Pelodiscus sinensis: one gene and its partners. The protein of the gene in region 1 binds, or shares a complex with, the protein of each later gene. Links are inferred from orthologs where the notes say so. Each region holds a gene or a part of one and is shown in the gene's direction. Other genes may lie near its edges.

The links.
Region 2: TMEM17 (region 1) and TMEM67 share a complex: the UniProt entries of both Homo sapiens proteins name them as parts of the tectonic-like complex. The link is inferred for Pelodiscus sinensis from reciprocal best matches to the Homo sapiens genes TMEM17 and TMEM67.
Region 3: TMEM17 (region 1) and TCTN1 share a complex: the UniProt entries of both Homo sapiens proteins name them as parts of the tectonic-like complex. The link is inferred for Pelodiscus sinensis from reciprocal best matches to the Homo sapiens genes TMEM17 and TCTN1.
Region 4: TMEM17 (region 1) and TMEM107 share a complex: the UniProt entries of both Homo sapiens proteins name them as parts of the tectonic-like complex. The link is inferred for Pelodiscus sinensis from reciprocal best matches to the Homo sapiens genes TMEM17 and TMEM107.

The regions. Positions count from the first base shown.
Region 1 is NC_134713.1:185,703,283-185,711,330, forward strand, and holds the start of TMEM17 (transmembrane protein 17), read left to right. Parts: upstream 1-5,010; 5' UTR 5,011-5,068; coding exon 5,069-5,177; intron 5,178-6,259; exon of another isoform or gene 6,260-6,561; coding exon of another isoform or gene 6,562-6,619; intron 6,620-7,581; coding exon 7,582-7,685; intron 7,686-8,048. UniProt on the Homo sapiens protein: Transmembrane component of the tectonic-like complex, a complex localized at the transition zone of primary cilia and acting as a barrier that prevents diffusion of transmembrane proteins between the cilia and plasma membranes.
Region 2 is NC_134712.1:41,032,705-41,040,373, reverse strand, and holds the start of TMEM67 (meckelin), read left to right. Parts: upstream 1-4,503; 5' UTR 4,504-4,761; coding exon 4,762-4,948; intron 4,949-7,669. UniProt on the Homo sapiens protein: Required for ciliary structure and function. Part of the tectonic-like complex which is required for tissue-specific ciliogenesis and may regulate ciliary membrane composition.
Region 3 is NC_134725.1:34,086,595-34,094,110, forward strand, and holds the start of TCTN1 (tectonic-1), read left to right. Parts: upstream 1-4,183; 5' UTR 4,184-4,198; coding exon 4,199-4,598; intron 4,599-7,516. UniProt on the Homo sapiens protein: Component of the tectonic-like complex, a complex localized at the transition zone of primary cilia and acting as a barrier that prevents diffusion of transmembrane proteins between the cilia and plasma membranes.
Region 4 is NC_134734.1:10,821,510-10,829,245, forward strand, and holds the start of TMEM107 (transmembrane protein 107), read left to right. Parts: upstream 1-4,549; 5' UTR 4,550-4,674; intron 4,675-6,133; exon of another isoform or gene 6,134-6,137; 5' UTR 6,138-6,179; coding exon 6,180-6,266; intron 6,267-7,322; coding exon 7,323-7,390; intron 7,391-7,736. UniProt on the Homo sapiens protein: Plays a role in cilia formation and embryonic patterning. Requires for normal Sonic hedgehog (Shh) signaling in the neural tube and acts in combination with GLI2 and GLI3 to pattern ventral and intermediate neuronal cell types.

The DNA.
Region 1 (8,048 bases):
CCAGTCTTATATGTGCTCACTAACACTGTATCCATTTTACAGTCTTTATCTTAAAAAGATAGGAGTTTATTAAAGGGAAAGCTGAGATGTGAATGATATATTCTGCACAAAGCTAGGGTTATGGCCTCGCACTCAAACCTGGGATGTATTGTAAGATAAGCACCAGAAGAAAACAGTCATTAAGACTCAAATCAACACATTTTGTAGTATAGCAATAATGATTCAGGTGGAAAGGAAATCTCTGGCACCATTTAAATGAACTCTGTGTTTCTGAAATGCCAAATGAAAAAATCGGTGATATTTAAATTTTGTTAGCTATGCTGCATCTGGTGTTTATGGCTTAGTTTTGTTGCCAGACAGCCCCAGGAGCATCAGTCTGGGAGCCCAGCCAGTGTCTCCCAATTTAGTCGGACAATTGTGGATACACAGAGATCCAATATTCCTGATTTAAAGCTCACAGGCAGATTGTCAGGGACTTTTGTTTTATTTATAGTTAGCATGTGTGGAGAGAAATAAAACAGTAATTTAAAATACTGTGCAATTAAGGGTTTATTTCTTCAACGTGCAGAAGTTTCTCATTCCAGTAGCTTATTTCAAAGCATAAAGAATTGGAATCTCTAGGTAGTTGTGCCTCATCCATTAAGAGGTGGATAGACATGAAGAAATACAGGAATGGGGATTCCTTTCCATTTAAAAAAAGGAAAGAGATGAATATCCAGGACTTCTATAAAAGTTGAACATTTATGATGACCATCTGTATGAGTACCGGATCTGTTCCAGTCACGTGCAGTTTAATGGTCTTCCTTTCCTTATGGTTCACTATTATATAAAGCACTAAATTACCAGTTCAGCTGTTCCCCAGGCTCTGTTCCTTAAAAATATAACTTCCCTTTCTGCTTGAAACAAAAGAATCTGCTCACTAAAAACACACTCCATAAAATGAAGTCTCCTGTTCATTAAATTCACAATAGATGGTTGCATGAGCCCAAGGACAATTAAATTGGATTAGCTGAAAAACAGACATATTCTACCTATGGGGAATATTGTATGCATATACATGAAAATTAAATATTGAACAAAGGTATGAGGCTTTTTTTTAACTGGGGCAGGTAGGATGCTTGCCATCTGCTGAACACATTGCCCTGTCAAATATCACAGATTCATATCCTGAATGTGGAAACCAAGTGCACATAGCAAATCCATGGATTTCTTTAGTATCTGCCTTCCACTGGCTTTTCTCCTTTACTTGCAGCTCAATTTTGCCACTTCACTGATTGATAAGCTGTGCTACCTCCCACTATTTTGGGGAACTGAGAGCCCAATTTTTCAAATCTTCCTTATGTCAAGAGTACTTTATTGTGTGACAAGTCCCATTCACTGTAAAGGAAATACTCATGTGACTAGAGACTTCACACCTGACAGATTGGCGGAATTGGGCCTATAAAATTAGAAACATAGAATGAGAGATCTAAGTATCTGTGCAGAGTGACTGCATGGTGTCTAGCCAAGGAGCAGCATATCGTTTGTTATTGACAAGAAAAAAGGTCTCCCTAATTTAAGTAATCAACTGGAAAATCCCAAAGGAGTAAATTATTTTAAGATGGAACCTTGACTTACCAACACGCCATGTGGGAAGAACTTCCATGAAGATCTGACTTAATCATAAGTTCACTGCCATACTTTTACTTTATGCATACCTGCTCCTTTCATAGGGATATTCAGTGGTAAGGATTTTGAACCAATATTTTAAAATGCATTAAATTATCCAAGACCAAGGTAACGATGATGAAATGAGGTTTCAGACACTTCAATTAAAATTATATTCTAATGTCCTGAGACACACACCTTTAATGATGTTTCCTCAAATATAAAGTTAGCTTTAGAATTACTCCTTAACATTTATATTTGCTTCTGTGGGCAGTTTATTTAGTCTGTAGAGGTTTTGAGAGTCAGGATTCCTGGATTCTAGAAATGAGCGATTATCATATGTTTTTCTTTTAAAATTTCTAGTTGATATTTTATGAGGAACATGTAGATAGACTGGATTACCTTTCTTCTTATATTGAATCATTTCAACAGAAGGTTAACATCACATTTCAAAGGGTCAAACTCTAATGGCATTTTCCGTAAAATGGGTGCAACAACATTTAACTACCGTGTCAACTTTAATTAATTGATAGCAACTTCCAACCACTTTCAGTACAAATTCCAACCACTCAGGAATTACTCTAGCTTCCTCTGAACTGCCCACAAGCTCTTCCTCCCCTAAATCTCTTTTGAGCACTTCAAGGAATAAGGTCTTGCCTGCCTGTATTTATTTCCTTTATTCAAGGAAAACCTGTGAAAGAAAATTGGTGTCAACACTTTTACCAACATTAAACTATTCTGTAGAACTCTCATCTTTCGAATATTATCAAGGGAAACAGTTTGGTAGGATTTCTTTTTAAAATAGATTGACATTTATATGAATTCACTCTGCAGTTACACCAGTTAGGTTAAAACTACAATAATTCAAAAATCCTGCCAAAATTCCTAAAAACTGATCATCAACTGCAGTCCAGGGGGACAATAATTTATATTGCAGGATTCCCCACTCTCCTCCAAGAAGACTGGGCCCTGTGTATCTTGGTGAATCTCATGTATGTGGGGTTAAGGTGACCATATTTTGAAAAAAAAAATTTTTTTTAAAAGCAGGACACTTTTGTAAAAACGTTTTTAAAGGTAAGGAAATACTCATTCAAAAGTAATTTAAAAATATGTATCGGTGTCACTGCTGCTAGCTTTTCACTCAAAAGCAACACGGGGAAATATCTTAAGCGTGCAGTGCATTTTCTACTAAAGTTAGAGTGCACGTTCATGATACTTCTTCAGCTGATGGGCCTTACAGTTCAATCCACTGTGGGCTATACTCTCCACTCCTAACACCATTCATCCCATCCAATGCTCCTTCCGCTGCACTAGTGCCTTAAGCACCGGACTCCTACTCAGTACTGCAGTACTTCCTGGACCATTTGTTTTTAAAACTTTTAGGATATATAGAAAACTGGAAGGACTCAGGTGCCCTGAAAGCAGGTCTTAGGTAGGGATGTTAAATATGGGTTAATTAAATAGTCAAGTAACCTCATGAATTCTTATCAGTTAGTTGACTATTCTATAGCCCCAGGGGGTGAGGCTGGCAGCCAGTTCACTTCAGCCTTACTCCTGAGGAACCCCCTGCCACTCAGCAGCGCAGGGTGCCAGACGGAAGCTGCTCCAGTTTAAAAAACAGCTCCCCTTGTGGATCAGCTGCCTGTCACCCTGTACTGCTGCCTCTCATAAAGAGGAAGCAGTGCAGGGTGTCAGCAGCCCCTGTGTGTGGGGGGGGGGGGGGGTGGAGGGGGGTGGAGCGGGATCGGTCTGAACTCCCAGACCCAGCATGAGCCGGAACCAAGCCGGGCTGCCTGCCTGCTAGGGTTGCCAGGTGTCCGGTTTTGAACTGGACAGTCCAGTATTTAAGCTTTCTGTTTGGGGAACTAATTGAGAAAATATAAATGTCCAGTATTTTCTAAATAAGATGTAATGTAGAGTGTGATGTAATGTTAAGTGTGTCTGGTATTTTTGTTGAAACCATGTGGCACCCCTACCGCCTGCCCATCTCCTAATACACTTTAAATGCAGAGCCACAGCAGGGGTAGGTCTCAAATCCATCACAAGCCAGGACTGAGATGGGCTGCTGGTCAGCCTGCTAAAAAATTTACTGGCAAGGGGTGGAGGAGAGAAATGTGTGTAGTCTATAGCATTAACCTATTAGCTTTTGCTTATCGGTTTAAGGGTTAATCGACTGCTTTATTACATCCCTAGTCATAGAATCATAGACTCATAGGGCTGGAAGAGACCTCAGGTGGTCATCAAGTCCAGCCCCCTGCCCAAAACAGGACCAATCTGGGTCAGCAGGACATTGTGTGAAAAAAACAGGCTGTGGGATGGCCATGGTGGGTACGCCACATATTGCAACCAGCCACATGCCAGGCTCAGTTGGGCCCAGGGAATACTGGGCAGGGAGGGTGTGACGTAGTGGGGGTACCTGGCTGGTTTCTATGCTGCTGGCTCTGGGGTAACCCCCACTGGCTCCCGTGGGTACCACGACCCAGCAAAACAGGATGAGTCACTATGCAAACCAGTATGGCCAGACACCCCCCATGGAGAGGAACAAAGGAAGGTGGAATGCTGCCCTGGCTGGGGGGCAGGGCTGGAAGAGAGTTAGTTAGTTGCGGTCTGTGAGCATGGAGGAGACAGCCTAGGGAGAGGGGCTGGAGTTTAGGGGCCCAGTCTCCCCCCAACTCAAGGGGGCCTGAGGCATCCTAGCCCAGCTCTGTGACCAGATTACATCTGTGCTGTGCTGTATCCTGGAGAGGCAATAAACTTCTTCTATTCCACCGGCTGGTGCAGTCTGTTTGTGCCATTTCGGGGTGCAGGAGACGGGGGACCCCCAACGCGCCGTCACAGAGGGATGCCCTCTTGGGGGTGCCCTGCCAGAGAGCATGGGGGGAAAGGCTAGAGAGGGTTGCCAGGCGTCCCGTTTTGAACCAGACAGTCCAGTATTTTAACTTTCTGTTCAGGAAACAAATTGAGAACTATAAGTGTCCAGTATTTTCTAAATAAGATGAAATGTGGATTGTGATGTCATGTCAAGTGTGTCCAGTATTTTTGTTGAAACCATCTGGCAACCTGGCTAGACATATGATTTAATGACTAAACTTGTTTCTACATGTGTTTTGAAATCACAGGCTATATTTTTCTATGCAAATATTGGAATTTCAAAATGTAGTAGATTATAAAATGGGGAAATAAGTTCTTGTACACAATTTGTCACACTTGGCACTGGCCCCCACCCATAGGCCTGGGGCTCTGCTTTGGGGCTGGCAGCAAGCAGGAGCCCTGGGCCTGGGACAGGAGCGACCCCTCCCTTCCTGCCCTGGCTGGGGTTGGTGGGGGCACAGTCAGGGTAGCGGCTTCGCGGGTTGCTACTGCGCATGCTCGAATCGCTAGTTGCCATGGCAGCGGGTTGGCTGCCCCTCGCGCGGCCAGCATGGCGCTGCCGGATCCGGTCAGGAGGCGGCTCGGCTCCTTTAGCCGGTCTGTGTTCAGCGACAACAACCGCACCGGCCCGGAGCGCCGAGAGAGCGGCGGCAGCCTGGGTAAGGCCTGGTTGCGCTGCCCGCAACAAAGATGGCGGCGGCATCCTCAAAGGGAGAGAGGTGGGGGGGCAGAGGGTCGCTGCCAGGAACGAAGATGGCGGCGCCAACGTCGCTGTAGCGGGGCTATGGCTAGGACTGGGCGGATGGGACAGCGCGTCCCCGCGCTCAAAGGGCGGGAAGGGGGCGCGCGCTGCCTTGCGCCGGCAGCTTCCCCCCTCCCTCCGCCCCAGGGGTGGCAGCAGCCGCCGCGCGGGGCCTCCCTGCTGCGCCGTGGCTTGGGGACGTGGCTCCGCGTTGGCGTCCCCGGGGCTGCGGGTGCCAGAGCATCCCCGGGCTCGCGGGAGTGAGAGCTGCGCTAATGCATCGTCTCCGCCCTCAGCCCCCCTGTTCCTGCTCCACGGCTTGGCTTAGGTACCGCTCCCCAGGCTGTGAGCCTGCCTGCTGGGGGGCTAGACCCCAGCTTGGGAGCTAGGCTGTGCTGCCAGTCCCACCCGTTCAAAAATCCCAGGTCAGGCATCCCCCCTGGAGCTCAAGAGGCCCTCATCAAAATCCTGAGATTTAAACGAGGACTATGGGGTCTTTGCCTTTGGGTTTCGCATGATTAGGGGTTTGCTTTGGGATGGTTGTTTCTTTGGTTGTGGCAGCTTTTCTTAGCAGCCAGGAAGGATCGGAAGCTCTAAAAAATAAAAGCTGAGATTCTCACAATCCCAGGACTCTAGAAGCTGGGGCTTTAAGAAAAGCACCACAAACTATTAAACCAGTTGGGATGCCATTGGACATCAGCCCAGGGCAAAACATATTGACTGTGTCAGACTGGCAAGTTTTTCCACAAAAGCGGGTGCTTTTGCGGAAAAACTTGCCAGCTGTTTACACGGGCTGCTTGAATTTCTGCAAGAACACTGACGATCTCATGTAAGAAATCAGTGCTTCTGGCAGAAATACTATGCTGCTCCCGTTCGGGCAAAAGTCCTTTTGGGCAAAAGGGCCAGTGTAGACAGCTCAGATTTGTTTTGCGCAAAAAAACCCCGATTGCAAAAATGGCGATCAGGGCTTTTTTGCGCAAAAGCGCGTCTAGATTGGCATGGATGCTTTTCCGCAAAAAGTGCTTTTGCAGAAAAGCGTTTGTGTCAATCTAGACGCTCTTTTCCGCAAATGCTTTTAACAGAAAACTTTTCTGTTTAAAGCATTTGCGGAAAATCATGCCAGTCTAGACGTAGCCTCTGTGCCTTTCTGTGAAAATACTACCATCCCTTCACACTCAGCCAGGCACTCGGTGTAACTTGCCAGATATTTTATACCACCACCTAGCATATTTCATCTGAAAAGCACAAAGCACTCCAGGACGTAAAATAAATCAGACTCTCACTGCCACCACATGTAACTGATGGTTTGGGTGTTTGAATTGGATCTGCTGAACCAGGGACACGTAACAGGACTTACAGGTGAGGCAATCATAAGGAGGAACTTCCACATGCACAAACCCATGGTACTTGTGGATACTTCTATGGGCTGCACTTTGAGAAATGGGGGGGAACTTCCAACAGTCAGTTTACTGATAATTAATTCAAGTAGATTTAATGTGATATCAATCCATTGGACAAAGAAAGAAGGAAACTTGTCAGTTGAAACAAAACCATTCCTGATGTTCTCATTTTTAGGACTTATTTTGTATCTGGGTCTGGTTGTATATTTTTGTTTTGTTTTTGGAATTTACATGCAAACTCTAAACACTGTAGAACTTTACCTCCTACATAGTATTCCAAGGGTCAGTATTTTGTTTTTCTGAGGTTTAGCAGCTAATTTTCTTCTCTTCATAGTGTTTGATTTGTAACTCCTCATTCTGTAATGTACATTCAAATTTGCCCCTTTTTAAAAAGCATATTGGATTGACATTGCTGGAGTCTAGAATTTTCTGTGCAGAAGAAAGATTGCATGGAGACCAAGCGATGCAAGCTTCTCCATCAGCATGCTTGCGTTCTGATTTGTAGAGATCAGTTTTAATTTGAGTATAATCAAATATATATGGTCACTTAGTCCCATTAAAAAAAGGCCTAGCATTATCACATTGCTACAGTCAGGCATCAGGAATTAAGAGTACAAGTCAGTTCACCTCCACTGTCTATTGCTCTCCTTTTGAGCACCTCCTCTGCTTAACACCTTCCTTATTTCTTTGTATACTCCCATCACACTTAGATTGTTTAGAATACGGTAGGGAATTATGTAGAAAAATTCTTCCTCTGGCCACTTTGACATATGCTTAATGATGAACTTGGTTGATCTCAGAATCCAACCATTAATGAGTTGAAGTTGTTCTCTTAAAGTAGAGGCATCTTTCTCTGCTCTATGTAGGAAATATAATGTCTGATACAGACCTTGGGTGATGATGATTTCTCTCGCTCTCTAGATAATGAAATAGTTGCCAGTTTGCCATTGCAGATGTCCCTCTATTTCAACCTTTACTTTTTCCCATTTTGGTGGGTAAGCAGTGTGGTCATGCTCCAGCTGAAGGTAAGTCCTGAGGGGACTTATCCCCTACAACATCTGTGCTGCCTGTTTGAATTTTATTTCCTTACACTGTCTGCAAGAGTAATATAATACTCAGCCCATCTACTCATTTCCTTCAACCCACACATGGCAAATGTTATTTAATAGAGTGCAATAGCTTAGTGGAAATGTCTGAGTATCTGGAGGTGCAGGAATTTGTGACAGAGTTAGTGACAGGTTTGGTTGGGTGGCAGATTGAAAAATCAGGGGCAACGGCTTGTCAACTTTCAGGAATATTGACAGTGCTGCATGAATTTCCAGAATGCAAATTCCATGAGCTTCTGTAGAGCTGTATAAAATAGCAATAGCACATGCCAGCCCCATGGA
Region 2 (7,669 bases), on another chromosome or scaffold:
GCATTTACATACCAGTAAGTCTACTTTAAGTACCAGGCAAATTCGCTGAAACTATAGTAAAGAACAAGTGTCAGACACATAGGCTATGTCAGCAAGATTTTGCACAAATATTTTTAACGCAAGAGTTTTTGCGTTAAAGTATTTGCGCAAGAGAGCGTCTACACTGGCATGTGCCTTTGCGCAAAAGATTTGCTTTTGCGCAAAAGCATCCGTGCCAGTGTAGACGCTGTCTTGTTCAAGAAAGCTCTGATGGCCATTTTAGCCATCGGGCTTTCTTGCGCAAGAAATTGATGTTACCTGTCTACACTGGCCTCTTGCGCAAGAACAGTTGTGCGAGGGGACTTATCTCTGAGCGGGAGCATCAGACTATTTGCGCAAGAAGCACTAATTTCATACAGTACAATGTCAGTGTTCTTGTGCAAATACTCGCAGGCAGTGTAGGTAGGTGGCAAGATTTTGCGCTAAATCTTGCCAGTGTAGACACAGCCCCAGATGAACATAATTTGTTGGGGAAAAGTTAACATGGTTTCTGTAAAGTGAAATCATGCCTTACTAATCCACTAGAATTCTTTGAGGCGGTCAACAAGCATGTGGACGAAGATCCACTGCATGGTGGGCAAAAGGGCCTCTGTGGGCCGCATCCAGCGCACCAGGCAAGTGGATCTGGCCCACGGAGGCCCCAATAAGAGCCTGGGCACGGGCGGGGGAGGGCACATGAAACTTCCTCCTGCCATGCAAGGAGCACACAGCACTTCAAAGTGCTCCATGTTCCTCTCAAGGCAGGAGGAGACATCAAGTGTTCCCCTGCCCCCATGCCCTGATTGGCCTGGGGGCGAGGGAGCGGTGCAAAGTTTCCTCTGCCCTCCCCCCACCCTGCAAGGCACGCATGGCACTTCAAACTGCTGCACGCTTGCGCAGGGCCGGAGCAGGGCGAAGGAAGCTTCATGCAGCTCCCCTGCCCCCTGAGGAGCGGGAGTAGGGCAGGAGGTGGCTTCACATGCACCCCCAAGCCAATCAGGGCCTGAGGGTGGGGGAGCTGTGTGAAGCTTCCTTCACCCTGCCCCAGCCTTGCACGGAGCACGCACACTTCAAAGTGCCACATGCTTCTCGCAGAGCAGAAGGTTTCCTGTGCTCTCACAGCCCCCAGAGCCTGATTGGCATGGGGTGGAGGAGCATGCCAAGCCTTTTCCAGGGCATGGATGCCTATTGGGAAGGGGGGGGCAAAGATCTGGGGCAGCCCTGTCCTTCCTGTTTAGGCCCCGCCCATTCCAGGGTGGCCCAGAGCCACTTCCAATTTTTCAAGTGGCCCCAGGGCAAAAATTATTGCCCACCCTTGATCCACTAGATATCATGTACTTAGATTTCAAGAAAGCTTTTAACAAGATCTCTCACCAACGGCTCTTAAGCAAAGTAAGCTGTCATGGATAAGAAGGGGAGAGTCCTCTCATGTACTGATAACTGGTTAACACATAAAGGTTAGGAATAAATGGTCAGTTTTCAGAAAGAAGTAATTAGTGGTGCCCCACATGGATCTGTTATGGAATGAATCCTATTAATAAATTATCTGGAGAATGGGGTAAACAGTGAGGTGGCAAAATTTGCAGATGATACTAAACTGCTCAAGATAGTTAAATCCAACATAGACTGTGAAGAGCTTGAAAAGGAAATCACAAAACTAGGTGACTGGGCAACAAAATGGCAGATGAATTTTTCATATTGATAAATACAAAGTAATACATATTGGAAAACAATCTCAATATCCATAAAAAACTATGGAAACTAAATTAGCTGTTACCATTCAAGAGAGATCTTGGAGTCACTGTGGATAGTTCTCTAAAAATCCACTAAATGTGCAGCAGTAATCAAAAAAGCAAACAATGCTAGGAATAATTTAAAATGAGATAGAGAATATCTTAATGTGTCTATACAAATCCATGTATGCTCACATCTTGCATACTGTGTGCAGATGTGGTTACCTTGTCTCAAATAAGGTATGTTGGCATTGGAAAAAGTTCAGAAGAGGGCAAAAAATGTTTAGGGACTTGGAATGGCTTCCATACTGGGAGAGATCAGTAAAACTAGGACTTTTCCGCTTAGAAAAGAGGGTTACTACAGTGGGATATGATAGAAGACTTTAAAACCATGACCGGTGTGGAGAAAATGAATAAGGAACAGTTAGCACTTATTCCCATAACGCAAGAACTAGGGGTCACCACAGGAAATCAATAGGTAGCAGTGTAATGGGGCACGGTCACAGAAGACTCTTTGGGAGTGCTTCCCAGAGTGCTGACAAGGCCACTGACACTCACCTTCCTGCTCTCTGGGGGCTTTCACTACCTTGTCCTGCTGGGCCAGCTCCCTGGTCTCCCCCAGCTAAGGCACAGAGCTGAGATCACTACCCTCCACTCCCTTCAAGGAGCAGTACAGACACTGAAGCTCTTCAAGCCCAAGGGAAATGCAGTTTTGAGCCCAGCTTCCTGGGATACCACTCCCCAAATGGGATCAGAACCCCAAATGAATTTAGGTAAGCCCCCTTTAACAATAAAACAGCCAGAGCAAAATAGATTACAAATTTAAAATAACAGAAAATGCTTAGCTAATTCTAACACTAGAACCTCAGTACAAACTTATTATAAACTCACCCTAAAATTGTTCTTATTCTAGATCACCCTCCAAACCAGGGAAATTGCCTCTCCCTGAGGTCTTTAGTTATCCTCCTGGGAGTACCATGCCAGCTAAAGACAAAGAAACTCCTGTCATGGGCTGGGTCTGTGCACTGCTGAGGGCATCAGCTTAGGGCGAATTGCTCAAAACCAGGGCTCCTCACAGCCCTCAACTGGAGACCTTTCCCAAACAGGCCACAAACCAGTCACACGGAGTGCTTCACCTGCCAATCTGGCCATCAGGAAGCGTCAAGCAAAACCCCTCAGATACCCCAACTCTCCCTCATGGGATTTTTATATTCCTGGTGTCTCCCAAACTGAAGCTGGTTACATGATCAAGTGACCTATCTGTGGAAGGTTGTTTACCTGTCAGCAGAGTTGAAACTACTGACCAATGAGGTTAGGACTAAGGATGTTAAATATCAGTTAATTGAATAGTCAATCTCATGAATTCTTATCGGTTAGTTGACTATTCTGTAGTTCCCGGGGATGGGGCTGGCAGCCAGTGTGCTTTAGCCTCACTCCTAGGGAGCCCCTTGCCAGCCTGTACTGCTGCTTCTCTATCAGAGGCAGCAGCACAAGGTGCCAGTGGAAGCTGGTCCACAAAGGGAGCCAGATTAAAAACCAGCTCCTCTCATGGACCAGCTGCCTGCCACCCTGCACTGCTGCCTCTGATGCAAAGGCAGCAGTGCAAGATGGCAGTTGCCCCTATCGGGTGGGGGGACAGGGAGGGTAGTCTGAGCCCCCAGACCCAGTGCAAGCTGGAACTGAGCTGGGCTGCCTGCTCGCCTGGCTCCTAATATGCTTTAAATGCAGCGCCACAGTGGAGGCAAGTCTCGGACCTGGTGCAAGCTAGGACTGAGCCAGGCTACTGGTCAGACTGCTAAAAAATGTATGGTGGGGGGAGTGCATATAGTCTATAGCAGCGTTTCCCAAACTATGGGCCGTGGCCTGGTACTAGGCCGTGGGAAAAAAATACCGGGTCTCAGCGTGACTGCCGGGAGGGGAGAGGAGCGGGGCGGGCTGAGAGGAGGTGTGTGTGAGGTGGAAACTGGCCACTGGGAAGCAGGGTTGGGGGCAGTGGGGCTCTTCCGCGGAGATCGGAGGTGGGGGGGGCAGCTGGTGGAGGCAGGGTTGGAGGCAGCGGGACTGTCCAGTGGAGATTGGGGGCGACCAGCCAGCAGAAGCAGGGTTAAGGGCAGCGGGGCTGTCTGGGGAAGATTGGGGCGGGTGGGTGGCAGAAGCAGGGCTCGCCGGGGGGATTTACTGGTCCCCGTGTCAAAAAGTTTGGGAACTCCTGATCTAGAAGAAAAGTGGCTGGATGTTCCCTGTTGTAACCGATGGCTGCTCAGGAGAAATTCAGTTGCTGCCAGTTGATTAGCACAGCACAGCACCAGTGTCCAGTAGCATGGGGCATATCCACACATGGCTCAGTGCACATAACAAAATTTATTCCGCCAATGGATGGAAAACATTAGAGGAAACTCTTGCTGGATGAGGTAAATTATTTTCTTTTCCTCAACTAGCCACGGCCCGTAGTTTGGGAAATGCTGTTCTAAACCATAATTCTGCCTACCTTTCCAAATACAAAATAAAACAGAATGCAGCCAGAAAAAGGTGCCTAGAGTTATGTATCCTTTTGTTGTTTTCTCCCCACTCCCCCGTTTTGAAGGCTCAGTTCCATTCAAAGTATTTTGAACCAAGTTTATTTCTCCTGCCTGTCCAGGTGTCCATGAGATCGCCTCTTACCGGCTTCTCTGGCCTTGTATATACTGTTTCTATAGTTCCCTCTTTTTCCCTGTCTGCTCAGTGTTTTCTCTTCCTGTAGCGCTCCCCCTATTCTTCCCTCCTCCATTCTGCCCCCGCACGCCCCACTGCGCTGCTTTTCAAGCCTCGCGTTCCGCTTTGGGGGAAGAAGAGGAAACGGCATCCACCAGCCCAGCCTACCCCCATCCTACTCTTTGCTCCCATAGGCAGGTCTCCGGCCTGGGCTGTTTCTGGCCCTTCTGGCTGTCCGTAGCCGGGACTGTCCTTGATTCAGCGGGAGGAGGTTCGCCAATCCGCGCGCGGCGGGAAGGCTGCTGGGAGCTGAGTAGCCATGGCGACGGCGGGGCGCTGTGGACCCGTTGTTCTGTTGCTTCTGTTGCTCAGCGCGCGGCTCTCGGCTGGGCAGAGCTTCTCCCTGCCGCTGCGCCAGCCCCAGGACTGCGGCGATGGCCGTTACTTCGATATCTCCAGCCTGGCGTGCAAGCAGTGCGGGCCCCAGCAAGGGCGGAGCGCCGGGGGTGAGCGAGCGAGCGAGGGGCTGGTGGGGTGGTGGGGAGTCCTGTCTCGCTGCGGGCGGGGTGCGGTGGGCGGTGTAACAAGCCCAACCTGCCTTCCGTCTGCCCAGGCCTTGGCGGGTGCGTGGCCCCCTTCTCTGGGACGAGCTGTTCTGGGAGGGTCCGCTCAATGACGGGCCAACTTGAGGCAGAGCCTGGGCAGAGGGGCTGCGGCATCATCATGTTACTTGCCCGCCCCTGCTGCACGAAATACCCGTGAAGCTGCGTTTGTGGTGAGTCCCTGGGAGCCGAGTTGCGGGCTACCCTAAGCAGGGGCAGGGGAGGGAGAGTGTTGTTCAATGCTGGGCTCTTTAATTCAGATTGGACTTGTCAGAAATCGGGATGTTTGTTCGTGGCACGGGAACGCAGGTACCCGCGGAATGGTGACGTGTCGGCAGTGATCCGCCTGCAGAGCTTAGACGGGTACTGAGTTAGTGATGCTGCCAGGGGAAAGTGGTGCCCTAGGGAATTTTTGTCCTGTGACTTTTTGTTTTTCACTCTAGCATAGATGGGTTGAATTTGTTGTACATTCCCCATGCTGAGGCAATAAGTAAATTTTCTGGGACTACCATAATTGAGGCCCAACTTAAATGTATACCCCAATTTAAAAAATACAGTAAAAGAACCAAAAAATGCCACCATGACTTAACAACCAAATAAAAGAAGCAATGAGAAAGAAAAAGGTGTCTTTTAAAAAGTGGAAGTCAAGTCCTAGTGAGGAAAATAGAAAGGAGCATAAACTCTGTCAAATGAAGTGTGAAAATATGACAAGAAAAGCCAGAAGGGAGTTTGAAGAACAGCTAGCCAAAAACTCAAAGAGTAATAGCAAAATGTTGTTTAAGTACAGGCAGTCCCTGAGTTACGCGGATCCGACTTATGTCGGATCCACAGTTACGAATGGGGATTTTCTCGCCCCGGAGGACTGGAGCAGCGGGACGTTGGGGGAGCCAGCAGACCAGGGAGACGGGGAGCAAAGCGGCGGAGGACCCGGGCTGGACCCGCGGCGCTGATCTGGAAGCGCCGCGGGTCCGGCCTGGGTCCTCCGCCGCTTTGCTCCGCATCTCCCTGGTCTGCTGGGGGGTGACGCAGCTAGTGCCTCCCCCCCAGCAGACCAGGGAGACGTGGAGCAAAGCCCGAGGCCTGTGTTAGAGCAGGTGGGGCGCTGCCGGTTGGTCCCGCAGCACCGCTCCTTGGCGCTACTGGACCAACCCGGCAGCACCCCAGCTGCTCTGCCCCAGGCGTCCTGATTCAGCCGCTGCTGATCAGTTTCAGCAGCGGCTGAATCAGGACGCCTGGGGCAGAGCAGCTGAGGTGCTGCTGGGTTGGTCCAGTAGCGCCGAGGAACGGCCGCGCTACTGGACCAACCCAGCAGCACCCAAGCTGCTGTGCCCCAGGCGTCCCTAAGTCAGCCGCTGCTGAAACTGACCAGCGGCTCACTACAGGAAGCGCGAGGCAGAGTTGCTCTGCCCCGGGCTTCCTGGAATCAGCTGCTGATCAGTTTCAGCAGCAGCTGACTTGGGGACGCCTGGGGTTCTTAAGTTGAATCTGTATGTAAGTTGGAACTGGCGTCCAGATTCAGCCGCTGTTGAAACTGATCAGTTTCAGCAGCGGCTGAATCTGGATGCCAGTTCTGACTTGCATACAGATTCAACTTAAGAACAAACCTACAGTCCCTATCTTGTACATAACCCGGGGACTGTCCGTACATCAGAAGCAGGAAGCTGGCAAACAACTAGTGGGACCATAGGACAATCAAGATGCAAAAGGAGCACTTAAAGTCTATAAAGTCATTTCAGAGAAACTAAATGAACTCTTTGCTTCAGTCTTCACAGCTGAGGATGTTAGGGAGATTCCCAAACCTGAGCCATTCTTTTTAGATGACAAATCTGAGGACTTGTCCCAGATTGAGGTGTCGTTAGAGGAGTTTTTGGAACAAATTGATAAACTTAACACCGAGACTAGATGGCATTCACCCAAGAGTTCTCAGATATGACATTGTGGAACTATTAACTGTGATTTGCAACTTATCCTTTAAATCAGCTTCAATACCTAATGACTGGAAGATAGCTAATATGATGCCAATATTTAAAAAGTGCTCTAGAAGTGATCCTGGGAATTACAGACTGATAACTCCAACATTAGTACCAGGCAGATAAATTGAAACTATACTAAAGACTACAATTATCAGATACATAGATGGACATAATTTTCTGGGGGAAAGTCAACATGGTTTCTGTAAAGGGAAATCATGCCTTACTAGTCTACTCAAGTTCTTTGAGGGGGGTCAACAAACATGGTCGGGGGAATCCAGTGGATTCCAGAAAGCCTTTACTTAAGAGCCTTCGATGAGGGCCCTTGTCAAAGTAAGTTGTCATAGGATAAGAGGAAAGGTCTTTTCATGGATTAATAACTGGTTAAAAGATAGGAAAAAAAGAGTAGGAATAAATTGCAAGTTTTCAGAGTGAAGAGAGGTAACTAGTGGTGTCCTCCAAGGGTCTGTCCTGGGACTAATCCTAGTCAACTTACTTATAAATGATCTGGAGCAAGGGATAAACAGTGAGGTGGCAAAATTTGCAGACGATGCTAAACTGCTCAAGATAGTTAAGAACAAGCAGACTGTGAAGAGCTTCAGAATGATCTCACCAAACTAAGTGACTGGGTAACAAAATGGCAAATTAAATTTAA
Region 3 (7,516 bases), on another chromosome or scaffold:
CTGTTAAGTCTGCAGGGTCAACCCAGCTATGGAGAGTTAGATGGATTTTATTTCTTCTTGTGCAAACAAATTGTTCACAAGTGTCAGTACATTAGACATGTGTAAACCAATTGGTGGAAGTAGGTTGGTGTCTATGATGATCACCTGTGCAACCACATAGTCTTCACATAGTGGAAGGAGGGCAGATTTAAGCATATAGAACTTTTATTATTCATACAGAAGGGGGTAGAGGGAGGCAACAAAACCACAGATTTAATTCAGATCCAAAGCTGTCTTTGCAAGGCTGACCATTAGAAACTGATTGTACAATTAGTGCATATGATACAGAATCACTGAGAGACTAAAAGGAAATAGACACTTTATAAAGTAGAACCATATTCTATACAAGACCATTCTACACGAGAGATCCATTTCCTGGACACCACAGTACAAATCAGCAATGGAAAATTAGACACCACTCTACAGAAAACCCACTGACTCATACAATTACCTACATGCTTCCAGCTCCCATCCAGAACACACTATACGATCCATCATCTATAGCCAAGCCCTGCGATACAACCGCATCTGCTCTAATCCCACTGACAGAGACCAGAAACTTCAGGATCTCTACCAAGCATTTATAAACCTCAACTACCCACCCAGAGAAATAAAAAAGCAAATTGAAAGAGCCAGATGAATACCTAGAAACCAACTACTTCAAGACAGACCCAAGAAAACCAACAATAGAACACCACTTGTCATCACCTACAGCCCCCAACTTAAATCTGTCCAACACATTATCAATAAACTACAGCCTATACTGGAACAGGATACTAAACTCTGAGAGGTTCTGGGAGACAGACCCGTAGCCTCCTATAGACAACCACCTAACCTCAAGATGATTCTTACCAACAACCACAGGACATACCACACTAATATCAACCCTGGTACCTTCCCTTGCAACAAACACCGTTGCCAGCTTTGTCCACATATTCACTCTGCTGATACCATTATTGGACCTAACCAAGTGAGTTATAAGATCAAGAACACATATTCCTGCGCATCCAGAAATATAATTTATGCAATCATGTGCCAAAAGTGTCTGTCTGCTATGTACATTGGACAAACGTCTCAGACACTTCGCCAAAGGATCAATGCCCACAAAACAGATATCAGACAGGATCACAAAGAAAAAACAGTTTCTTGCCATTTCAACCAGAAAGGACATTGTCTCAATGACTTGATTACCTGCATCCTGCTTCAAAGGCCTTTTAAGATTTCTCTTGAAAGAGAATCCTCTGAACTGTCATTCATGCTTAAATTTGACACTTTACACTCAAGTTTGAATAAAGACTCTAATTATCTTACCCATTACAAAGATAGCTTCCCCAGTTATCACCTCTATTAGCATTGGCTCACAGATATTTACCTCCCCCCATCTGTTCTGAAATTTGATTTGTCCTTTTCATATGTGTTCATTTTTTAAATTGTAACCTTTGGTATATATGGTTGTGACAATTTTCTTCCACTATTTGATCTGAGGAAGTGGGTCTGGCCCACGAAAGCTCATCATCTATTAAACCATCTTGTTAGTCTTTAAAGTGCTACATAGTCCTGTTTTTTGTTTCAACCATATTTTAAGTCATTGTTGATCTTTCCCAAATGTGAAAACTACGCATAACAGAAACATGATTTTGTCCTTAGACCTAACTTAAAGAAAATGAATAGATTTGTTACCAATTGCATCAAACTCGTAAATCCCCAGTATAATAAAGAGTACCAAAAAGACAAATGTGTATCAACTTTCCTCTCTCTTCTTATAGAGGAAAATAAAGTAGTATTATATACATTTTAATTGGACACTGTTCTAGAGGGCTAACCAAGTGATATTCTTTCAGAAAGTAAAGCGCTCTGGGGTTTCTAGTAGAGTGGGGTGATTGAAGAGAATGTGTCCTTAACAGAATAACTAATTTCCAGGGAGCAGAATGACTCAAGGAAACTGTCATATGATAAGTAAATTGAAATCCAGCCTAAATTAGTAGTGATTGACAGTTGTTAACATCTGAAGGGCTGTTTGGTTGTCTATTTGAAATTAATGTTTTGGTCTTGATACAGTTACAGGCAGACAGACCATCGTTCGCCTCACAAAACTAATCACTACATCTGGCACTATTTAGTCTAATTGCTGGCAGTCCCAGCAGAAAGTCAAAGCCTGAATGGACTATAGGGACCTTAGACATGGTCTGCAGTCTGTCCAGTGCAGGTGGGAGACATGTTGACAAAGGAGGACAATGTGAAGTTGGCACTGCTGCTACCCATGTTGTACCTAGTCTATGGAAATATTTTAGTTGCCAGTATTACAGCTGAAACCTCTCAAAAAATTTAAAAAATATGTACCCAAATGTTACTGCAACAGGAAGTGGTAGTAGTGATGGGAGTGCTAGTTATTCAAAGATTGTTAATGGTATAGTAAGGATTCTGATGTGCTATTTACAAGATTCAGTGCGCCCTCTCATGGTCAAAAAGGTAGCAAGAATAAAAGCTGCTGCTTTATGTCAATGTACAGGAGAAGCTTAAAGCTCTGTATACCTCATTGTAACTCTGAATTGTTTGTAACTCTGAATAAAGTATTATGGTTGTTCTTTCAAAAGTTTACAAGGGTATGTCTACATTTTTTGAGGAGTAACGTTAGTTTGAACCAAGGGCATTGGTTCAAACTAACGCGTCCCGGCGCGTACTTCCTGGTTCAAATCAGCTGTGATTCGAACTAGCGCACCGGTGAGATCATGCTAATAGAGCGCAGGATATTTAAATCCCGGCCTCATTAGCTACTTCACTCGTCTGCATTTGCATCCCTAGTCTGAACTAGGGAGCAAATGTAGACATACCCCAATTGAGTATTGATTTAATATAGCATTATAACTTTATTATGCAGAAAAATGCTTTTAACCATCTTAATTTAAATGAAACAAGCTCGGAAACAGTTACCTTCCCCTGTCAAGTCTAAAAAATAAAGCAAATCCTATATCACACAGTCCTGTTAAATGCAAACTACTAAAACATTTTTCTCTGCTTCCTGATTAAATACTTCTGGTTCAAAATGAAGTATGTGGTTAACTGATCAGTTCATAACTTTTCTCTTGGAGGTTCTACTGTAGCAAGAATAAACTTGTTCAGAAGAGAACCCTGTATAATGATATAGGGTCAGGTCACATGCAGGAAATAATTGTTTCAAAAACATTCATGATCAGATTATGACAAAACAGAAAAAGAGGAAGTTTCAGACCTTTCAAAATACCCTGGAGCCTGTTATGCAGCATACCACAGAGAATCAAGAAAAGTGTACTCTTATGGCCCATGGACAGGAGAGGAGTTGTGTGAAGGAGTAATTATTTTGTTTGTTTTAAACCTGCTACCAGTTAATTTCATTTGGTGACCCCTAGTTCTTATGTTATGGGAAGGAATAAACAACTCTTAATTTATTTATTTCAATATCAGTCATGATTTTATACACCTCTATTGTATCCCTCTTTGTGGTGGTTTTTTTTCAAACTGAAAGGTCCCAGTCTTATTAATCTCTCCTTCTATGGCAGCCATTCCATTACATAGTGATTAAAATGCCAGTGGTTAATCAACACTGGAGAGCCCATCACAGACATTGATTTAGTTGGAACTGGTCCTGCCTAGAGCAGGGGGCTGGACTTGATGATCTTCTGAGGTCTTTTCCAGCTCTATGATTCTATGACATTGGTGGAACTGCAATAATGGGACATGCTAATATTGCTCGTAGCCAAAAACTCAGAGTGCGATATCCCCAAATCTACCCATCTTCATTGAAGCTTGTGGGAGTGTGAACTGCAGGACTGAAGAGCCCAAACACTTATTCAGGAAGGTGCTACAGTGACTGTACAAACTTCTGGGCCCAGAGGGGGAGGGCTTTGCGTGGTGGGGAGCCTTTTTGTTTGGAGGTGTCTGCTACCTCGCACAATGGGGTGCTGGTGCAGGAGCAAGGCTTTTAGCTGCTGCAGCAACACAAATGATAAATGGCTTCAAGAGGGGCAGACTGGCCCCATCTCACCCTCCCTTCTTCCAGTCTGGAGACAAGCACTGACACTGCTTGTCTGTGCCCTCCCTTCCCTATCCCATGATGCCCTGGGGCTGAGCCTTAGCCTTTTCCCCCTGTGCTGGCCCAGGGAGGTAGCTGACTTCTCCCATAATGCCCCGGGGTGGGGTTTGGCTCTTTTCTCCCATAATACCCCGGGGCGTCGCCTTGGTTACCGAGGCGCTGGCGCGCGTAGCGGGGATGGCGCTGAGGCTCGGGGTCCTCCTGCTGCTGCCGCTGCTCCCGGCCGTGAGGGGAGTCTCGGGGCAGAGCGGCCCCGCCAGCGCCTCCCCGCAGCCCTCGGCGGACGCGGGCCCGAGCGCTCCCTCTGTTTGGCCGCAGGCGGCAGAGACGTCGGGCCGCCCCGCCCCAAGCCCCACAGCACCCGGCCCGGACCCCGGCGGGGCCGCCTCCCCAGCCCCGACCTCGCTGCCGCCGCCAGACACCTCAGCCGCGCCCTCTGCAGCGGCTCCAGAGACGCGGGCCGGGGCCGGGCCTTCCCCAGTCACAGACGGTGGGTACCGCCCGGCGAGAGGCTGGGGAGCCGGGAACCGGCCGAGGGGACGCGCGGGGGAGTCTGCCAGGCCGCTAGGGATCGGGCTGGGGTTTCAGGCTAGAGAAGGGGGGGTGTTGGGAGTGGGGGGGATGGCAGACCCGCACGCAGAAGTGTCTGGGGGGTGTGTGCTTTGCTTGGAAATGTGGGCCCCAAGGGCGAGAATGCACCCCCGTATGGGCCCCCAAGTTAGCGTGCCCCGGCCCGCTGTGGGAAGGCTGTGGCTGATTTCTTATCCCCTTCCCTTAAGAGCGAGGCCCAGCCCTGCCTCCCGGCCTCGCTATTGCGGGGAGGGGTAAGAGGGAGAAGCGGAAGAATCCCCAGACTCCCCTTGGCCAGCTGAAGCGTGGGGTAGGGGGAAGGCTCGGACAGCGCACAGCCCCAGCCTTTCCCCAGCTGGCTGGAGAATAGCCACTCAGTGTGCCACTCCTGCCTTCCCCTGTCCAGCCAGAATCAGCCCCATGAGGAACCAGGGAGGGTGCTTTTACACCCCCCCCCCCAACTGGGTACAGACCTGGATGGAAAACTGCAACATGGGGTAGGGAAAGGACCAGAAGAGATTGATTCAGGGTGCTGGGGGCAGAAGGGAGGAGGGGGGGGGAGCTTGGGAGAATCCTCCCTGCTCCCATCACCTGTAGCTTCCATCTCTATAATTCTCTTAAGTTCTGGGTGACACTTCCACAAGGGTGCCAGCTGGGCCTTGGGATTCCTAGGAGGTCACCTCCCATTAAAGTATTTGCTTTCTGAGTGTATTTAAAATGGGTTTTGCCTCTGATCTATTCCTTTTGGCTCCTTACCCCTCCCCTCCTTTTCTAGCGTCACACCTTCATCCATGCCTACCTGTGACTTGGAACAATTGCTTGCTGGAAATCCTTCCTGTGAAGCCCTACTTCTGTGCAAAAGGCTTCACTGAAGGTCTTCTTGCTTGCAGTAGTCCCCACACCACCTTTGTCTTCACACTTGCCTCACACTTGCTTTTCAGAGTTGCATTTTAAACTCTCCAGGTCAGGGACCCTGGCCTTTTTACATGTTCTGTAAATTCCTGTTTACATTTATGGTGCAGCATTCAGGGAAAAGCATTTGTAGAACTGGAAATATGAATGTTATGTTTTGCTTTTCCCTCAATACACTTAGAGCAGTGGTCCCCAACCTTTTTGTGGCCAATAGCACATTCATGTTTTCAGAAGTGTGGCGGGTACCAACAATTTTTCCAGACTTATTTTGTATTTGTACATTATGATGTTTTTCATATTTATTTATTACATAATATATGAATTCATAAGATAAAGGTAATTTTACATGTAAAAGGAATTAATTATTTGGCAATTATTCTTTCACCTTACCATGTGAATTTGTTCTTTTTTATCTATCTGTAAGAAAAATTAAGAACTTTGTACAAAATAAACATCAAACAGTTTTCATCTTATTTAAAAAAAATAAAACGTTATTGAACTGCCAAAATATTTATTATTCTTACTTTAACATAGCTAGTTATGGTTAATTAACAATACAAAGAATATTTTTTACTTGTATCTGGATTTCAATAAACAAACAAACACATATGAAAAAAAGTTAAACAAGTTAATCATACGTGCTCATCAGCACTTAATGGAAAATAGGTATAATTAATTCACGTGGTTTTTCTAATAAAGTCAGTGTGATTTTTGGCACTGCATTTCTTCAGTCAATTTTTCATAGTTGGGAGAGTAGGATGATATTCCCTTCCAGTGCCCCCCTCCACCAGCCCTTCTCTCCCCCCCTGTACCCACTCCTCCAGTAGCCCCACTCTGATCATGTGAGCTACCCTTCCTCATTCCCTCTCCTAACACCTCCTTATACACACCTGCCCTACCTCTCCTCTGGTGCTGGTTCCTCCCCTGCAGGTGTCTGCCCTTCTGCTTCACGCCCAGAATCTCTTGGCACCTGCACCTTCCCTTACCCCTGCACCCTCCTGGTGCCTCCCCCTTCCCTCACTCCCCCTGCCTCCTTTGCCCACTTTTTCCCTGATGCCCGCCCCCTCACCACCCTCTGCCCCTGTTCCCCTCATGGCCCTGTGCCCTCACACATGACTTGCTCCATTCCTGCCTTCCTCATGCCCACCCCTTCTTTCAAGCCTTCTCCCAGCACCTCCAGCCTCCAGTGCCCTTACCCTCTCCTCTCCCAGCATCACCCTGTCCCTCCTCCCAGTGACACCTCCCCTCCTGCCCTTTTCCTCATTGTTTCCACTTACCTCCCCTCCCTCCCCCCGGCATTTGTCTCTCCTCCACCCTATCCCTTGGTCCCTTCTCCTTTATTCTCCTGACCTGCCCCTCTCCCGTCAGCACAAGCCCCTTCCTCTCCCATCCTTTCCCCCTGTTCTTTCCCTCCCTTACCTTCTGCCTTCCAGTTTGCAGGGCTGGAGTCTGCTGCGATCAGGCCCCAGAAGTCCCCGCAGCCCGGGCTCCAGACCACGTGCTGGACTTGGAGCTGGGCCACTTGGCATTCGCCGCCCCAGCCCATTACAACACAACTGCCCCACCAGGTGCACTTACCACCATCCTACCTTTAGCCAGGCTCTGCTCCCCCATGCCCTGCTCGGTGCATCTTCTTCCTCCTTCCCCGATCCGTGGCTGACCGTTTTAAAAAACGGTGCTGCCACACCGATGTGGCACCACCTCCTCTGGTGTGCTGCGCGTGACCCCACCCCCGGCACAGCCGTGGCTCCACCCGTGTTGACAGCACATGTTTGCACCTCTTGCGGCTGTGCCCACTTTCCCTTCCCCTGGCCTGGTACTTTCCCCTGCTGGGGTTAGCTTGCCGGCCTCCTTGTCAGAGTCTCTCAGTCTTCTGGTGGGGCTGTAAGTGCTGACAGTGCCCCTACAGGCTCCGGTGCAGGAGTG
Region 4 (7,736 bases), on another chromosome or scaffold:
ATCAGAGAGTGACTCCTGAACGCTGACCACCCAAGGCCTGTGCCTCTGAACATCAGGGGATGCAATCACCAGCTCCTCGCTGCGACTTGGGGTTCACTCCCCCGGCCCCAGAATTGACCCATACGCAGCCTACTGTGTCACCCACCTGTCCAGCTCATAGATGCCTGCTTGGCATTTCATCTAGGGATGTTAAGGATTCGTCAACTAGTCGCTCCCTCTCTTGCTGCTTCTATCAGAGGAGGAGAGAAGGGGGGAGGGTACTTCAAAGCGGCAGTGCCGCCCTATCGACTAATCAAATAGTCCATGCAAAAATGCATCAACTATTCGATTAGTCATTTACACAATACTTAACATCCTTAATTTTGCCCAGAAAATACCCCTAGGGTTTTTTTACACTACAACGTTAATTCAAACTAACTTAGTTCGAATTAGTTAATTCGAACTAAGCTAATTTGAACTAACGGATCCAGACTAAAAAACTAGTTCGAATTAGCATTTTGCTAATTCAAACTAGCATGTCCACATTTAGTGGACTCTGAACCGGGCTTAAGGATGGCCGGAAGCAGTGCCGGCAGGGCATCAGAGAAGAACTTAGAGCGTGGAGATGCTGTCTCAGGCTAGCTGAGGGCTGTGCTTAAAGGGTCCCGACCCCCACCCCGGACAGACAGTTCTCAGGGGTGCCCCGCTTGCAAAGCAGTCCTGGCTTGGATTGCCTGGACTACCCACACTGGGCACATCACAGCACTCAGCCATCAGCCCGGCTGCACTTGCCGCAGGCTGCCATCTGGGGAGAGGGGGCAATTGGGGGGCTGCAGGAGAGCTTCCACCCCCAGAAGCCCGCAGAGCCAGCCCAGTCCTCCCTCACCTCCTTCCACTTACCCTTCCCTAGCCCCTTTTCTTGATGTACAAAATAAAGATAACATGTCTTCCAAAATGGAATCTGTCTTTATTGAACAAAACAGGGGGAGACTGGGAAAAGGAGGTGGGAGAGGGGAAGAGAGAGGCTGGGAGAGGGGAGGGCAACTAAAATGATCAGGGGTTGGGAACAGGTCCCATATGAAGAGAGGCTAAAGAGACTGGGACTTTTCAGCTTAGAAAAGAGGAGACGGAGGGGGGACAGGATAGAAGTCTCTAAAAGCATGAGTGGGGTGGAGAGGGTGCATACAGAAAAGTTCTTCATTAGCTCCCATAAAGAAGGACTAGAGGACATCAAAGGAAAGGAATGGGCAGCAGGCTTCAAACTAGTAACAGAAAGTTCTTCTTCACAAAGCAAAGAGTCAACCTGTGGAACTCCTTGCTGCAGGAGGCTGTGAAGGCTAGAACTAGAACAGAGTTTAATGGGAAGTGAGATCAAGTCATGGAGGCTGGGTCCATGGAGTGGTATTAGCCAGGGGGTAGGAGTGGTGTCCCTGCCCAAGGTTTGTGGAAGGCTGGAGAGGGATGGCACGAGACAAATGGCTTGATCACTGTCTTCGGTCCATCCCCTCCAGGGTCCCTAGGGTTGGCCGCTGTCGGCAGACAGGCTACTGAGCTAGATGGACCTTTGGTCTGACCCAGTACGGCCATTGTAAGCTCAGGGTCGGGGGTCTCACTGGACCCCCTTGATTCTCTTGCACACCTGCTCCTGGGTGGCCAGGCTGGCAGCTCTCCTGCCCTAGCTGGCCACTTTCCTGTGCCTAGTGCGGAGATCGAGGACGAGGTCCACGATGTCTGCACTAGCCCAGGTGGGTGTTCCCCTCTTGCGGTCCCGGGCAAGCTCCCGGGAGCCGCCAGCCTGGTCCCGGGAAGAGGGGGAGGGCTGGGGGGCATCGGGTGGATGGCTCGATCCATGCCAGGTGCAGGGTCTGCTGGCTGGGTGCTGGCAGGCTTGCACCTGGCACGGGCACCGTAGCCAGCCCGTACCCCTTTAAGGGGTCCAGGGCCGGGAGGGGGGCAGACGAGTTTCCCTGGTGTTGGCCAGAGTGGCCACCAGGAAAAGCTGGGGAGGGCTAGCCTCCCACTAGTTCGAATTAAGGGGCTACATACCCCTTAATTCGAACTAGCTAGTTCGAACTAGGCTTAATCCTCGTAAAATGAGGTTTTCCTAGTTCGAACTATGCGCTCCGCTAGTTCGAATTAAATTCAAACTAACGGAGCACTAGTGTAGCGCCTATGAAATTTAGTTCGAACTAACGTCCGTTAGTTCGAACTAACTTTGTAGTGTAGACATACCCTCCGTCAGCAAGATCTCCATGTCTCGTCTCTCCCAGCAAAAGCACCAATCACTACAAACAGGATTTGAACCTGCTAAGGGAGATCTCAGGGGATTTCAAATTCAGTGCGTTAACCAATCAGCCATCACAGCTACCTAAAAAGCATAATCTCTGCAGTCTGCTGCAGAGAGTCTATTCTATGTGGTTGTGATGAGGTGCTGTGGTTCAGGGTTCTTGTTTTCTAAGCAAGAACATGGGGGAAGGAAAGGGGAGTAGGTAAATCAAAGGGCATTGCGGGGGAGTACATAGACAGATAGGGTGGGAATGTAGAGAGATTCTGTTCCTTAATATTTACTATACAAAAGCATAAATAGATGAAAAATATTTTTTTAGATTTCCGCCCTCTGCCTGTAATCTCAAGACTCAATCATTCTTCTTATGCAGTCAGTGAGGAGCAATTGCTGATGTGTGGCTTTGTATGTTGATTGGAGGATAGCTGGTTTGAAATTATCTTGACCTTTGCTGATCGGAGGGAGCATGGGTGTAAGTCAATTTGTCCAATGCTGATTGAAGGCGGCATGGGTTTAAATAATTTTCCCCTTGCTGATTGGCAGGAAAAAAGATTTAACTTGTTGTTGACTGCCAGATGTTTGGATATAAATACTTGGGCTGTGGCTAGATTGACATGATTTTCCGGAAATGCTTTTAACGGAAAAGTTTTCCGTTAAAAGCATTTTAGGAAAAGAGCATCTAGATTGGCACGGACGCTTTTCCGCAAAAGCACTTTTTGAGGAAAAGTGTCCGTGCCAATCTAGACGCGCTTTTCCGCAAAAAAGCCCCGATCGCCATTTTCGCGAACGGGGCTTTTCTGCGGAAAACAAATCTGAGCTGTCTACACTGGCTCTTTTGCGCAAAAGTTTTGCGCAAAAGGACTTTTGCCTGAATGGGAGCAGCATAGTATTTCCGCAAGAAGCACTGATTTCTTACAGTAGTAAGTCAGTACTTTTGCGGAAATTCAAGTGGCCAGTGTAGACAGCTGGCAAGTTTTTCCAGAAAAGCGGCTGATTTTCCGGAAAAACTGGCCAGTCTAGACACAGCCTTGGAGGGAGTCCAGCAGAGGGCAACAAAAATGATGAGGGGGCTGGAGCATATGACTTATGAGGAGAGGCTTAGGAATTTGGGCTTATTTAGTCTACATCAGTGGTTCCCAACCTTTTTGAGCCCATCCACAGAGGATATGGAGAGAGGGATCTCCTGGCCAAAGCAGCTCCTGCCCTGGCATTCCTCCTGTGGCAGGGCATGGAGCCCTGGGGGAGAAAAAAAAGAAAAGGAAAAGAAAAGAAAGTGAGGATTGGGCCCCACTGTGGGAGTGGGACTGGGAGTGGGGAGAGGGCTGGAGTGTAAATGGCAGTGTAGCTGGTGGCTGGAGGACAGATTGTGCCTCCTGAGGTATCAAAATCCAGTCTCAAGGGCGGGAGGCAGAGTGTGCGTGACTGCTTATGAACAGTGAGCCCTGGGCAATAATGGCCTGGTGGAAAGTCCCAGTCCTGTGGTGGGCCTGTTCTTTTCTTTTCCTAAACTTTCCACAGATCCCCTACAGTACTGGCATGGACACCTAGGGGTCTGCAGACCACAGGTTGGGAACCACTGGTCTGTAGAAGAGAAGAGTGAGGGGGGATTTGATAGCAACTGTCACCTTCCTGAAGGGAGGTTCCAAAGAGGATGGAGAGAGGCTGTTCTCAGTAGTGAGGGATGGCAGAACAAGGAGCAATGGTCTCAAGTTGTGGTGGGAGAGGTCCAGGTTGGACATTAGGAAAAACTATTTCCCTAGGGAGGGGGTGCAATCTCCATCCTTAGAGGTGTTTATGTCCCAGCTTGACAAAGCCCTGGCTGGGATGGTTTAGTTTGGGTTGGTGCTGCTGTGGGCAGGGGCGGGACTCGATGCCTCCCTGAGGTCTCTTCCAGCCCTGGGAGTCTGTTAAACCATTTTGCCCCTTGCTGACTGACAGATACCTGGGTATAAACCGTTTTGTTGCATGTTGATTGGAGGATACCTGGGTATAAATCGTTCCCACTGTCCCTGGATCCTTTCTTTACCGAAACCATTTTTCAGCCTGCCGCAGGGAAGGGCTTCCCAGGGTAACACCCCCAGCTAGAGGCTGAAATAACAAAAAAAAAAACTGGAGATGCCGGGGATTGAACCCGGGGCCTCATACATGCAAAGCATGCGCTCTACCACTGAGCTACATCCCCTACATGGAAACGGTTCCTCCCACAGAGGAACTTCATAGGGCCGCTGCCCTCTTCCTGACCTCAAACAAGATGGCGATTTAGGACTCGTCCTCGCCGTCAGACGGGAAGTTCTCGCGACATCTCCACCCAGCGCGCAGGCGCGCCTCTCTCTATGGGGCGAGGCCAAGGGATGCACGTAGAGGCGGTTGCCTCGGGCAACGTGGGGGCCTAAGCGGGATCACGGCCGCGGGTGGGAGCGCTGAGGGTTCTTTTCTATGAGAGGGGGAGTCCCACGGCGGAGGGTTCCATGGGGGGGAAGAGTGCGGGGAGGAGAGTTCCATGGGGGGAAGAGTGCGGGGGGGGGTTCCATGAGGGGGAAGAGTGCGGGGAGGAGAGTTCCATGGGGGGGAAGAGTGCGGGGGGAGGAGAGTTCCATGGGGGGAAGAGTGCGGGGGGAGGAGGGTTCCATGGGGGGAAGAGTGCGGGGGGGGGGTTCCATGGGGGGAAGAGTGCGGGGGGGGGTTCCATGGGGGGGAAGAGTGCGGGGAGGAGAGTTCCATGGGGGGAAGAGTGCGGGGGGGGGGGTTCCATGGGGGGAAGAGTGCGGGGGGGGGTTCCATGGGGGGGAAGAGTGCGGGGAGGAGAGTTCCATGGGGGGAAGAGTGCGGGGAGGAGAGTTCCATGGGGGGGAAGAGTGCGGGGAGGAGAGTTCCATGGGGGGAAGAGTGCGGGGGGGGGTTCCATGGGGGGAAGAGTGCGGGGGGAGGTTCCATGGGGGGGAAGAGTGCGGGGAGGAGAGTTCCATGGGGGGAAGAGTGCGGGGGGGGGGGTTCCATGGGGGGGAAGAGTGCGGGGGGGGTTCCATGGGGGGGAAGAGTGCGGGGAGGAGAGTTCCATGGGGGGAAGAGTGCGGGGGGGGGTTCCATGGGGGGAAGAGTGCGGGGGGGGGGTTCCATGGGGGGGAAGAGTGCGGGGAGGAGAGTTCCATGGGGGGAAGAGTGCGGGGGGGGTTCCATGGGGGGGAAGAGTGCGGGGAGGAGAGTTCCATGGGGGGAAGAGTGCGGGGGGGGGTTCCATGGGGGGAAGAGTGCGGGGGGAGGTTCCATGGGGGGGAAGAGTGCGGGGGGGGTTCCATGGGGGGGAAGAGTGCGGGGAGGAGAGTTCCATGGGGGGAAGAGTGCGGGGGGGGGGGTTCCATGGGGGGAAGAGTGCGGGGGGGTGTTCCATGGGGGGGAAGAGTGCGGGGAGGAGAGTTCCATGGGGGGAAGAGTGCGGGGAGGGGTTCCATGGGGGGGAAGAGTGCGGGGGGGGGGCTTCCATGGGGGGAAGAGTGCGGGGGGAGGTTCCATGGGGGGGAAGAGTGCGGGGGGGGGGGTTCCACAGGAGGGGGCAATGGAGAAGGAGGTCTCAAGGGGATGGGGGTGCAGATGGTGATGCAGAGATGATGATGGGGGGGTAGGGCAATAGATATGGGAGGTATTGGGGGGGGACTTCATGAGGGAGGGGAGATGTCACCACGCAGTGAGGATGGGGTGAAATGGGGTGCGCCACAGGGAGGCAGCGATGGAGATGGAAAAGGAGCTGGGGTGGTGGAGGAGTGATGGACATGGGGCTCTACTGGGGAGATGATGGGGAAACTCCTCAGAAATATGGTGGGGGGCCTAGTGCTTCCTTTGGTCTCCCCAGTCTGACACCTTTGCTCCCCCCAGTCAGACCTGCCCAGAGGACCCTGACCACGTGAGGGACACGGGCCATATGGCGCTGGTCAGCGGGCTGGTGCCTGCCCGCTTCCTGACCCTCACAGCTCATCTTGTCATCGTCATCACCATCTTCTGGTCCCGGGTAAGAAACCCTGACTGCGCATCCCCCTGTGATCCCCACAACATACACCCTGCACACCCACCTGTGCACCCAGACAATACACACCTATGTGACATCCACCACGTACACCAACACAGCACGCCTGCCTGTCCACGCCAATAACGCACACCGATCTGATGCTTGTGGTGTGCACCCTTATAGAATGACTGCCCGCTCACCCCAAGCATATCCACCCTTCTCATGTTCAGCTGTATCACATGTCCATTCTGAAGGTGCATATCCATCTGATAACCATGCCTATGATGTACTGTACACCCATACAGCATGCCAACTTTGATGCCACACTAACGAATGATGCCTGTAATGCACGCGAAGCCCAACAACGCGCATAACAACAACCATATCTACAGCATACACAGATACAACAAACCCACCCTTACCACGCCTATGACTACAACATGCAACATGCCTGGCCCAGTGATACGCATCCGTGCAACACCCATCCATACCATGCACACCTGTATGACATGCTGTATGCTGTCCTGGCAACACCCGCCTGCCACTATGAGGCACAAATCTGCGACACATTTATAGCTTTCCCAACACACGCACCCCCTCTCCCAGTTTACACAGTCCTCCAACATGCATCCTTGCAGGGCTCCCATCTCACCCATCCAGCATCCTCTTCTCATTCCTCCCCCCCTCCCCCCCCCACACACATACAGTCACTTTCCACAGGTGAGAAGAGCATACAGTGCATGGGCCGCAGGAACCAGGGAGGGGTTGTGGCTGTAGGGAAGTGGGTAGCAACAAGCTGGATCAGGACTCCTGGGTTCAGCCCTTGCTGTGGCAAGGAGGTAGAGGCTAAGGGTGGTTGGGAACTGAGACACCTGGGTTCTTTCTCCAGCTCTGGGAGGGGAATATGAGCTGGTGGGTTAAGGACTCTTGGATTCTTGTCTGCTCCACTGGTGTGCTTTCCCTTGCATTTGCTGTGTTCTTCCTACATCTCCCATGCTGAATTGTATGCTCAGGACGCTGCACCCTGCAGGGCTGACCTCACTGCCTCCTATCTTCCAGGACAACAATGTCCGTGCCTCACTGCCCCTGCAGTACAGCCAGCAGCAGTATGAGCGCCAGGACGTGGAGTGAGTCAGTCAGCCAGGGACCGGGTGTGCCAGAGGTCAACTGGCCTGGCCTGGCAGGGCTTGGGGCCTATCGGGGGGCACCTGGGAGGGGGGGACAGGAAAATGGGCCAGGAAGGGCATGAGGGAGAATATGCTGGGATGGCAGGAATGGGCCCAAAGAGTGGAAGCAGCATGAGACAGTGGGAGAAGGGACAGGGGAGCTGGGCCTGTGGAGAGACTGAGACAGGCAGAACTGGCCTGGGAGTGGGGGTTGGTAGGCTCTGGGGTGGGGGCAGTTGGGGGGGTTATGCTCTCCAGCCTGCACCTGTGTAACTCTCTCTCTCTTCTGGGCGTTGGCACTGACCCT